2 linked regions of the Saccharomyces cerevisiae S288C genome follow. The protein of the gene in region 2 interacts with the protein of the main gene of each other region in a biochemical or structural test. Each region holds a gene or a part of one and is shown on either strand. Other genes may lie near its edges.

Region 1 (4,792 bases), 490 kb from region 2:
ATCCAACCGATTCTTCAAACTAACGTGGAGGTCCGGGGTACTGATGCATCGAAAATGGAAAATTCACTTCCCTCCATTGAAAATGAAAGAAGTAGCGAGGAGCAGCCAGAAAACATTTCAAAATCAGCATCATCAGCATATTTACCATCAACTGGTGGATTGTCACTCGAAAACAGACCGCTAACTCAGGATGAAAACAGTATCTCAGAGACAGTTCAATCCACATACTTGCCAGCAGGAAGTATTTCAATGGAAGCTAAACCAATTTCTCAAGTGCAAGATGTTCCAAGAAATGTTAATAATAAAGCATCCAAACTTGTGGAGCAACATATGGCACCACCAAAGCCAAAAAGTACTGACGCAACCAAAATGAACTACTCACCATACGTGCCTCAATCAACTGCCGCTAGTGCAGATGGCGATGAATCAACGATTCTGAAAACATCGCCTGCTATATATGCAAGAACTCACCAAGCACATGCATCCAATCCATCACAATACTTTCCTTTGGTCAACCAAGCAAATGAAACTGCTTCATTCGAATTATCTGAATCAACATCCCAGGCACAAAGTAATGGAAATGTTGCTTCAGAAAATAGATTCAGCCCAATAAAGAAAGCCGAAGTCGTCGAGAAAGACACTTTTCAACCTACTATTAGGAAGGCTTCAACTAACCAATACAGGGCTTTTAAACCGTTGGAATCAGATGCGGATAAATACAATGACGTTATTGAAGATGAATCCGATGACGACAATATGTCTACTGATGAGGCAAAGAACAGAAAGGAAGAAAAAAAGAATGTGAATATGAAAAAGGAAACAAAACCAAGTAACAAGGACATAGATGACAAGTCTAATGGTTGGTTTGGTTGGTTGAAGAAAGATACTGGCGACAAAAAAGTGTATAAGGCCAAGCTAGGTCATAAAAACACACTATACTATGATGAAAAATTGAAACGTTGGGTGAATAAGGACGCAACCGAAGAGGAAAAACAAAAAATTATTGAAAGTTCGGCACCACCACCTCCTCCAATCGTGAAACGTAAAGATGGCGGCCCAAAGACAAAGCCACGTTCAGGCCCCATCAATAATTCCCTACCTCCAGTACATGCCACATCAGTTATTCCGAACAATCCAATCACTGGTGAGCCTTTGCCGATCAAAACATCCCCTTCTCCTACAGGACCCAATCCAAACAATTCTCCATCACCATCCTCTCCCATATCAAGGATTTCTGGCGTAAACTTGACTAGCAAAAAGGCAAACGGTTTGGATGATTTATTGAGTTTGGCAGGAGGACCCAAACCAGCAAGTACGAGAAGGAAGAAGAAAACAGCGAGAGGCTATGTTAATGTAATGGATAACATACAATAATTATAGTAATACGTTTTTCTTTCATGGTACCCTTATGCCTTCCCTTTTCTTGATGTATATTATATACTTATAAAAACCGTAGTAAATTTTATTAAAACAATGATTACAGGAATCCGTATTTAGGTTATGCATCGTTGTCAGTAAGAAATCAGATGAATGCGATCTGAAACTTTGCTTATACTAATATTATTCTATCATACCTCATTTTCTTGCTTCGATTAATGCAGGACGCCGGTTCCGGGTTAGGATCACCGAGAAACAGAAAGCAAGCAAGGCTTCAGTTACAATTCGAAGAAGTACTAAGGGGGTTGTCGTGGAAAAATCTTGAATCAGAAAGCGGCTGACTGGAGCATTACTAGGTTCATTACTCACTGGTTCTACTCATGAAACCTTACTTATTTGACCTAAAGCTAAAAGACACAGAGAAGCTGGATTGGAAAAAAGGCCTCTCCTCATATCTCAAGAAATCATACGGCTCCTCACAATGGAGAACATTTTATGATGAGAAAGCTACTTCAGAACTGGATCACTTAAGGAATAATGCAAATGGAGAACTAGCACCTTCTTCATTGTCGGAACAAAATCTAAAATATTACTCATTTTTGGAGCATCTTTATTTTCGCCTGGGTAGCAAAGGATCAAGATTAAAAATGGATTTCACTTGGTATGACGCAGAATACTCATCGGCCCAGAAAGGATTGAAATACACGCAACATACGTTAGCATTTGAAAAGTCTTGTACTTTGTTCAACATTGCTGTAATCTTTACCCAAATTGCGAGGGAGAATATCAATGAGGACTACAAAAACTCAATCGCAAATTTGACAAAAGCTTTTTCCTGTTTTGAATATCTATCAGAAAATTTTTTGAACTCACCTTCAGTCGATCTTCAGTCAGAAAACACTAGGTTTCTGGCTAATATTTGCCATGCAGAAGCTCAAGAATTGTTTGTCTTGAAATTATTAAATGATCAAATATCATCCAAGCAATATACATTAATCAGTAAACTTTCTAGAGCCACGTGTAACCTCTTTCAGAAATGTCACGATTTTATGAAAGAAATAGATGACGATGTGGCCATTTATGGTGAACCCAAATGGAAAACGACAGTTACTTGCAAACTGCATTTCTACAAATCGTTAAGCGCTTATTATCACGGTTTACACCTTGAAGAAGAAAATAGAGTTGGCGAAGCAATTGCTTTTCTCGATTTTTCTATGCAACAATTGATTTCATCCCTTCCATTCAAAACGTGGTTAGTGGAATTTATAGACTTTGATGGGTTTAAAGAAACTTTAGAAAAGAAACAAAAGGAGTTGATTAAAGATAACGATTTTATATATCATGAAAGCGTTCCAGCCGTTGTGCAGGTTGATTCCATTAAGGCGCTCGATGCAATAAAATCTCCAACATGGGAGAAGATATTAGAACCATATATGCAAGATGTTGCAAATAAATGTGACTCTTTGTACAGAGGAATTATTCCCCTAGATGTCTATGAAAAGGAAAGTATTTACTCAGAAGAAAAAGCGACGCTGTTGAGAAAGCAAGTTGAAGAAACTGAGACAGCAAATTTGGAATATTCTTCCTTCATCGAATTTACAAATCTACCCAGGCTCTTGAGTGATTTGGAAAAACAATTTAGTGACGGAAATATTTTCTCGAATACGGATACACAGGGACAATTGATGAGGGACCAAATTCAGACATGGTGTAAATTTATCCAAACAAATGAATTTAGGGATATAGAAGAACAGATGAACAAAATTGTTTTCAAAAGGAAACAAATTTTAGAAATCCTTTCTGCCTTACCCAATGATCAAAAAGAAAATGTTACAAAACTAAAATCTTCTTTAGTAGCTGCTTCAAACTCAGACGAAAAATTGTTCGCATGCGTAAAACCACATATTGTCGAGATCAATCTATTGAATGACAATGGAAAAATATGGAAGAAGTTTGACGAATTTAATCGCAATACGCCTCCACAACCTAGCCTATTGGATATCGATGATACCAAAAACGACAAGATATTAGAGTTGTTAAAACAAGTAAAGGGCCATGCGGAAGACTTAAGAACATTGAAAGAGGAACGTTCGAGAAATTTGTCTGAACTAAGAGACGAAATCAACAACGATGATATCACAAAATTATTAATTATTAATAAGGGGAAATCCGATGTTGAGCTCAAAGATTTATTCGAGGTGGAACTGGAGAAATTCGAGCCTTTGAGCACAAGAATAGAGGCGACAATTTACAAACAATCTTCAATGATAGATGACATCAAAGCCAAGCTAGATGAAATTTTTCACCTTTCAAATTTCAAGGATAAATCTTCTGGGGAAGAAAAATTTTTAGAAGATCGTAAGAATTTTTTTGATAAGCTGCAAGAAGCAGTGAAATCATTCAGTATTTTTGCATCCGACTTGCCAAAAGGAATAGAGTTCTATGATTCATTATTCAATATGAGTAGAGACTTAGCAGAAAGAGTGAGAGTTGCAAAGCAGACCGAGGATTCAACAGCTAATTCTCCCGCTCCTCCCCTCCCTCCACTTGATTCTAAAGCGTCTGTCGTTGGGGGTCCTCCATTACTGCCCCAAAAAAGTGCAGCCTTTCAGTCATTATCTAGACAAGGGCTCAATTTAGGGGACCAATTTCAAAATCTCAAAATAAGTGCCGGCAGTGATTTACCTCAAGGACCCGGTATTCCACCAAGAACTTATGAAGCTTCGCCATATGCTGCAACGCCTACTATGGCAGCCCCACCAGTACCACCGAAACAATCGCAAGAGGATATGTACGACTTGAGAAGACGTAAAGCAGTTGAAAACGAAGAACGTGAACTGCAAGAGAATCCTACGTCCTTTTACAATAGACCCTCTGTTTTTGATGAAAATATGTACTCCAAATACAGCAGTTAGGTGCATTTCTTATTTCTTAATTTTATTGTAGCTTTTTTTTTTCAACTAATATGATAATTATATATATACCGGATTTGTTGAAAGCCAGTTTTGCAAGGATAAAGAAACTGCGATTTAGCAAAAGTCCCTTTAATGCTTCTTCCATCTTTGATCTACTTTCTTTTGAGTATTAGGTGTATACCATACACTTTCAGATCCAAAATCAGCCTCGGACATTTTTACAAACGAAATAAGGCCATTATCCATAATAGCGATAATAAAGCTCCGATATCCCGTCTTCAATCTACGATTTTGCTGTATGTGAGGTGGGTACGCCTTTCTCTTCTTTTTCGTGCTAGACTGTGCAGTTTTTTTTTGAAAACTTGCTTTCATAGACGACTCACTTTTTTCAGTTTGAGATTTCGCGCTCCTCTTATGAATATATTCCTTTCGTGGGATATCTTCAACGTAGGAGTTTGTCTCCCAATCGTCATCATCCTCGATTTCGCTTAAAAATTCGA
Region 2 (3,657 bases):
ACCTGTTCTAAAGACTGCATCCCTTCAGTGGCATTGATGAACTATATCTATGTGCCAGGTGAAAAACTGTTCGGTCAAACAGATAATAAGAATGACTACATTATATTTGTTTCTCCTCAGGACACACAAAAGTTTTACAACATCAAGGAGAACCCTAAGGTCGCCCTGTTGTTTCACGATTGGATCATCGCGAATAATTTGTCAGTGGGCAAGGAAAGCATCTCTGGGACTCCGACGCCGACTTCTATTCCTCATGAAGAGCAACGTCAAAGCGAGCTTTTAAATTTGTTACAGGAGTTAAATCAAGCCGAATTGAACCAAATGAGCGCATCTATTGGTGGCGAAACCGAAATTGTCAATCCTGAAAGTGAAGAATCCAAGTACTATAAAGATTTAATACTAAAGGCTAATCCTGATGCGAAAGCTTTTATATTTGAAAAGAACACCGCCGTTGTTAAAGTTAGAATTGATAATGCTAGGGTATCCAATAATGAGAACAGAACAATGTTTCTAAGTAAAGGGAAGAGTTAACTGTCCTCTGCTTTTCTTTATCTATTTTGCATACGATTCTGTATTTAATTATTCTGTTTTTTTTTTTTTTTTATTTTTTATTTTCATGTACACAAGAAATCTACATTAGCACGTTAATCAATTGACTAGTTACCTTCTTGACCAAAATCTCTAGTGAACTGTTCTTGCTTCAGCAAGTCATCCTCATTCACGGTAGGTCTCGTCGATTTGATAGCCTTTAAGAAATCCTTTATGGTGAGATCTGGTTCTTTTAATTCATCAGCTTCAATATCCGTCCAACTCATCTCGATGGCGCCATCATCACCTGGAGAGCATGGTGTTAGTTTTCTTGTTTCGTCGTCCTCCGTAGAGACATCTTTGAAATGTGTCGCGCTTTGAATTTTTCTTATCGGTTGCATTAGCGCATCTTTCACCACTACAGCAATATCACTCCCGGAATAACCTTCAGTCATTGCACCTAAAGTTCTATAATCTTCCTTGGTCAATACGCATGGAGTGTCGCCGACGTTAATCTCGAACATGGTGGTTCTTGCCGCCAAATCTGGTAATGGTATATATATTCTTCTTTCAAATCTTCTCCTGATGGCACTGTCCAGTTGCCATGGGATATTTGTTGCGCCAAGGACCAAAACACCTTGGGAGTCATTCCCAACACCATTCATTTGTACCAATAATTCTGTTTTAATTCTTCTACTTGCTTCGCTCTCTCCTTCTCCTCTGGTACCTGTTAGCGCATCCACTTCATCTATAAAAATAATAGAAGGTTTATTTTCTCTTGCCATCGCAAATAACTGTTTGACAAGTTTTTCAGATTCACCCATCCACTTAGAAACCAAATCACTGGAACTAACACTGAAAAAGGTAGAATTGGCCTCGGTGGCCACTGCTTTTGCCAAATATGATTTACCTGTACCTGGTGGTCCGTACAATAAGATTCCCGAAGTGGGCTTACGGTTACCTTTGAACAAATGTGGGAACTTGACAGGTAAAATAACGGCTTCTTTAAGGGCCTCTTTGGCTCCTTCCAGTCCAGCCACGTCTTCCCACTTAACATTGGGCTTCTCAGACAAAATAGCACTCGATAAGGCACCTCTTAGCTTTTTGTTGTCTTCTCCACCATTATCCTCACCCTCTTCCTGAGAGATTTTCTTATTACCACCGTTGGAACCACTACCAGCGCTAGGAGATTTCTTTGCCGCGTTTGCCTCTTCACTTTCCAAGTGCTTTTTCAACTGCTCTGCACGGTTTAGATACTCTGTAAACTTCGCTCTTATCAAATCCTTCGACTTAGGGTTTTTCTCGTATTTCAAAGCCAACATCAAATAATCTAATCCGTTATAGTATGCTGTATACGCCTCCTCATACTGCGTGGCTGTGTCCAGGTCAATGGCCTTTTGAACCAGTTCTATTCCCTTAGTTAAAAAATCTCCCGTGCTCATTTGTACCCCATCTACTATAGGCACTCTATGCTGCTTTATTTTTGTCTTCCATGTCCTCAACCCACGATTAAATCGTTCGATATCATGAAGTTCTTATTTTTTTTTTTTTTTCACCCAGCGGGGGTACCCGTAAAGCAATACAATAAATATCATCAAGCAAGAATAAATAGATGTACAGAAAGAACAACCATGACGTGTTGTGTTTCTATTCAGCGTGCGGAACCGAATCCTCAGTCGGAGATTCTCTGAGAATGTTCGTTTGAGGAAGCTTAGGATACTTGGCGTAGAAGTTGGGGCCCTTTGGGGGCTGTAGGGAAGAAACTGGTCGTTGGCGCGACTGGAGTGGCGACATGTGAATCGGACTTGAAGTCACTAACGGGTTTACTGCTCTTACTGGCGAAGGTGGTAAATTTTCTGTCGGTTTGAGGTTGTCTCGCTCAATATTTTTCATGTCTCGACGAGACTCCAGGTATCTTTGATCGATGTTTGCGTCGTCCAACACCGACTGCAACAGATGACACTTTTCCTTGACAAATTGTAGTTCCTTTTGTGTAGAGTGCAGCTGCTGCCGCAATTGCGCAAACTTTGCTTGCCATTGTAGAGGCACACAATCCTGAGAATTTTTAGACAATGGGACAACGCTTTCTTCTTCCTCATCTGCGGGAGACCCCCATACAAACGCTTGGATCTTGGCAAGAGTCTTAGCAATATTGAATCCAAACGCGTGTTGTTGAGCCCTCTTTTTGGAGATATTCTTGTAGTTTTTAGAACGTGTCCTTTGTGAAGCGTGTCTAACATGATTTCTTTCGCGAGGCACAACCACCAATTTGCGCTCTTTTCGTATCCCCAATGTCTTTTCCTGAATTCCCATTGTGATCTTCAATGCCAACCCAACCTTCTTTTTACTTTGTTGGGTCTAAATTATGTTACTTTGTCCATTTCATCTCTTTTCAAGATGGAATCTAAAAGAAGAAAAACGACAAAAGGAACAAAAGTGATGTGACGCGTTATTTTTCGCGTGACATAATAGAAAAATATTTCAACTGGGCATCTTTAACACATGTTACAATAAAGTTGAGATGACTTGTTTATGCCTTTAAAGTTTGTAAGTGGAACTAGAAGCGTCTATGTGTGAAATGTTTGGCTCTGGGAATGTTCTGCCTGTTAAAATTCAGCCTCCGCTGCTTAGGCCACTGGCGTATAGAGTTTTATCAAGAAAATATGGTTTATCAATTAAATCTGATGGACTGTCTGCTCTTGCAGAATTCGTTGGCACTAATATAGGTGCTAACTGGAGACAAGGGCCTGCTACAATAAAATTTCTCGAGCAATTTGCTGCAGTATGGAAACAACAAGAAAGAGGCCTTTTCATCGACCAGAGCGGGGTTAAAGAAGTTATACAGGAGATGAAAGAACGTGAGAAAGTCGAATGGAGTCATGAACACCCTATTCAACATGAGGAGAATATCTTGGGACGGACAGATGACGATGAGAACAACAGTGACGATGAAATGCCGATCGCTGCTGATTCATCCTTACAAAATGTTTCATTATCTTCACCCATGCGACAGCCCACCGAAAGAGATGAATATAAACAGCCTTTCAAGCCAGAAAGCTCCAAGGCGTTGGACTGGAGGGACTACTTCAAAGTTATCAATGCTTCTCAGCAACAAAGATTCTCATACAA

Evidence for each region. The genes of interacting proteins can lie anywhere in the genome.
Region 1: the proteins of VPS4 (region 2) and BRO1 form a complex in vitro, tested with the Saccharomyces cerevisiae proteins (3 studies listed by BioGRID).

The regions. Positions count from the first base shown.
Region 1 is NC_001148.4:392,281-397,072, forward strand, and holds BRO1 (Bro1p), read left to right. Parts: upstream 1-1,757; coding exon 1,758-4,292; downstream 4,293-4,792. Other genes in the region: COPII coat assembly protein SEC16, read left to right, coding at 1-1,374; tRNA splicing endonuclease subunit SEN54, read right to left, coding at 4,422-4,792. UniProt on the Saccharomyces cerevisiae protein: Class E VPS protein involved in concentration and sorting of cargo proteins of the multivesicular body (MVB) for incorporation into intralumenal vesicles. Fusion between endosomes and the vacuole will then target the cargo proteins to the vacuolar lumen.
Region 2 is NC_001148.4:885,868-889,524, forward strand, and holds VPS4 (AAA family ATPase VPS4), read right to left. Parts: upstream 1,971-3,657; coding exon 657-1,970; downstream 1-656. Other genes in the region: YPR172W (pyridoxal 5'-phosphate synthase), read left to right, coding at 1-531; CSA1 (Csa1p), read right to left, coding at 2,176-2,841; DPB2 (DNA polymerase epsilon noncatalytic subunit), read left to right, coding at 3,107-3,657. UniProt on the Saccharomyces cerevisiae protein: Involved in the transport of biosynthetic membrane proteins from the prevacuolar/endosomal compartment to the vacuole. Required for multivesicular body (MVB) protein sorting.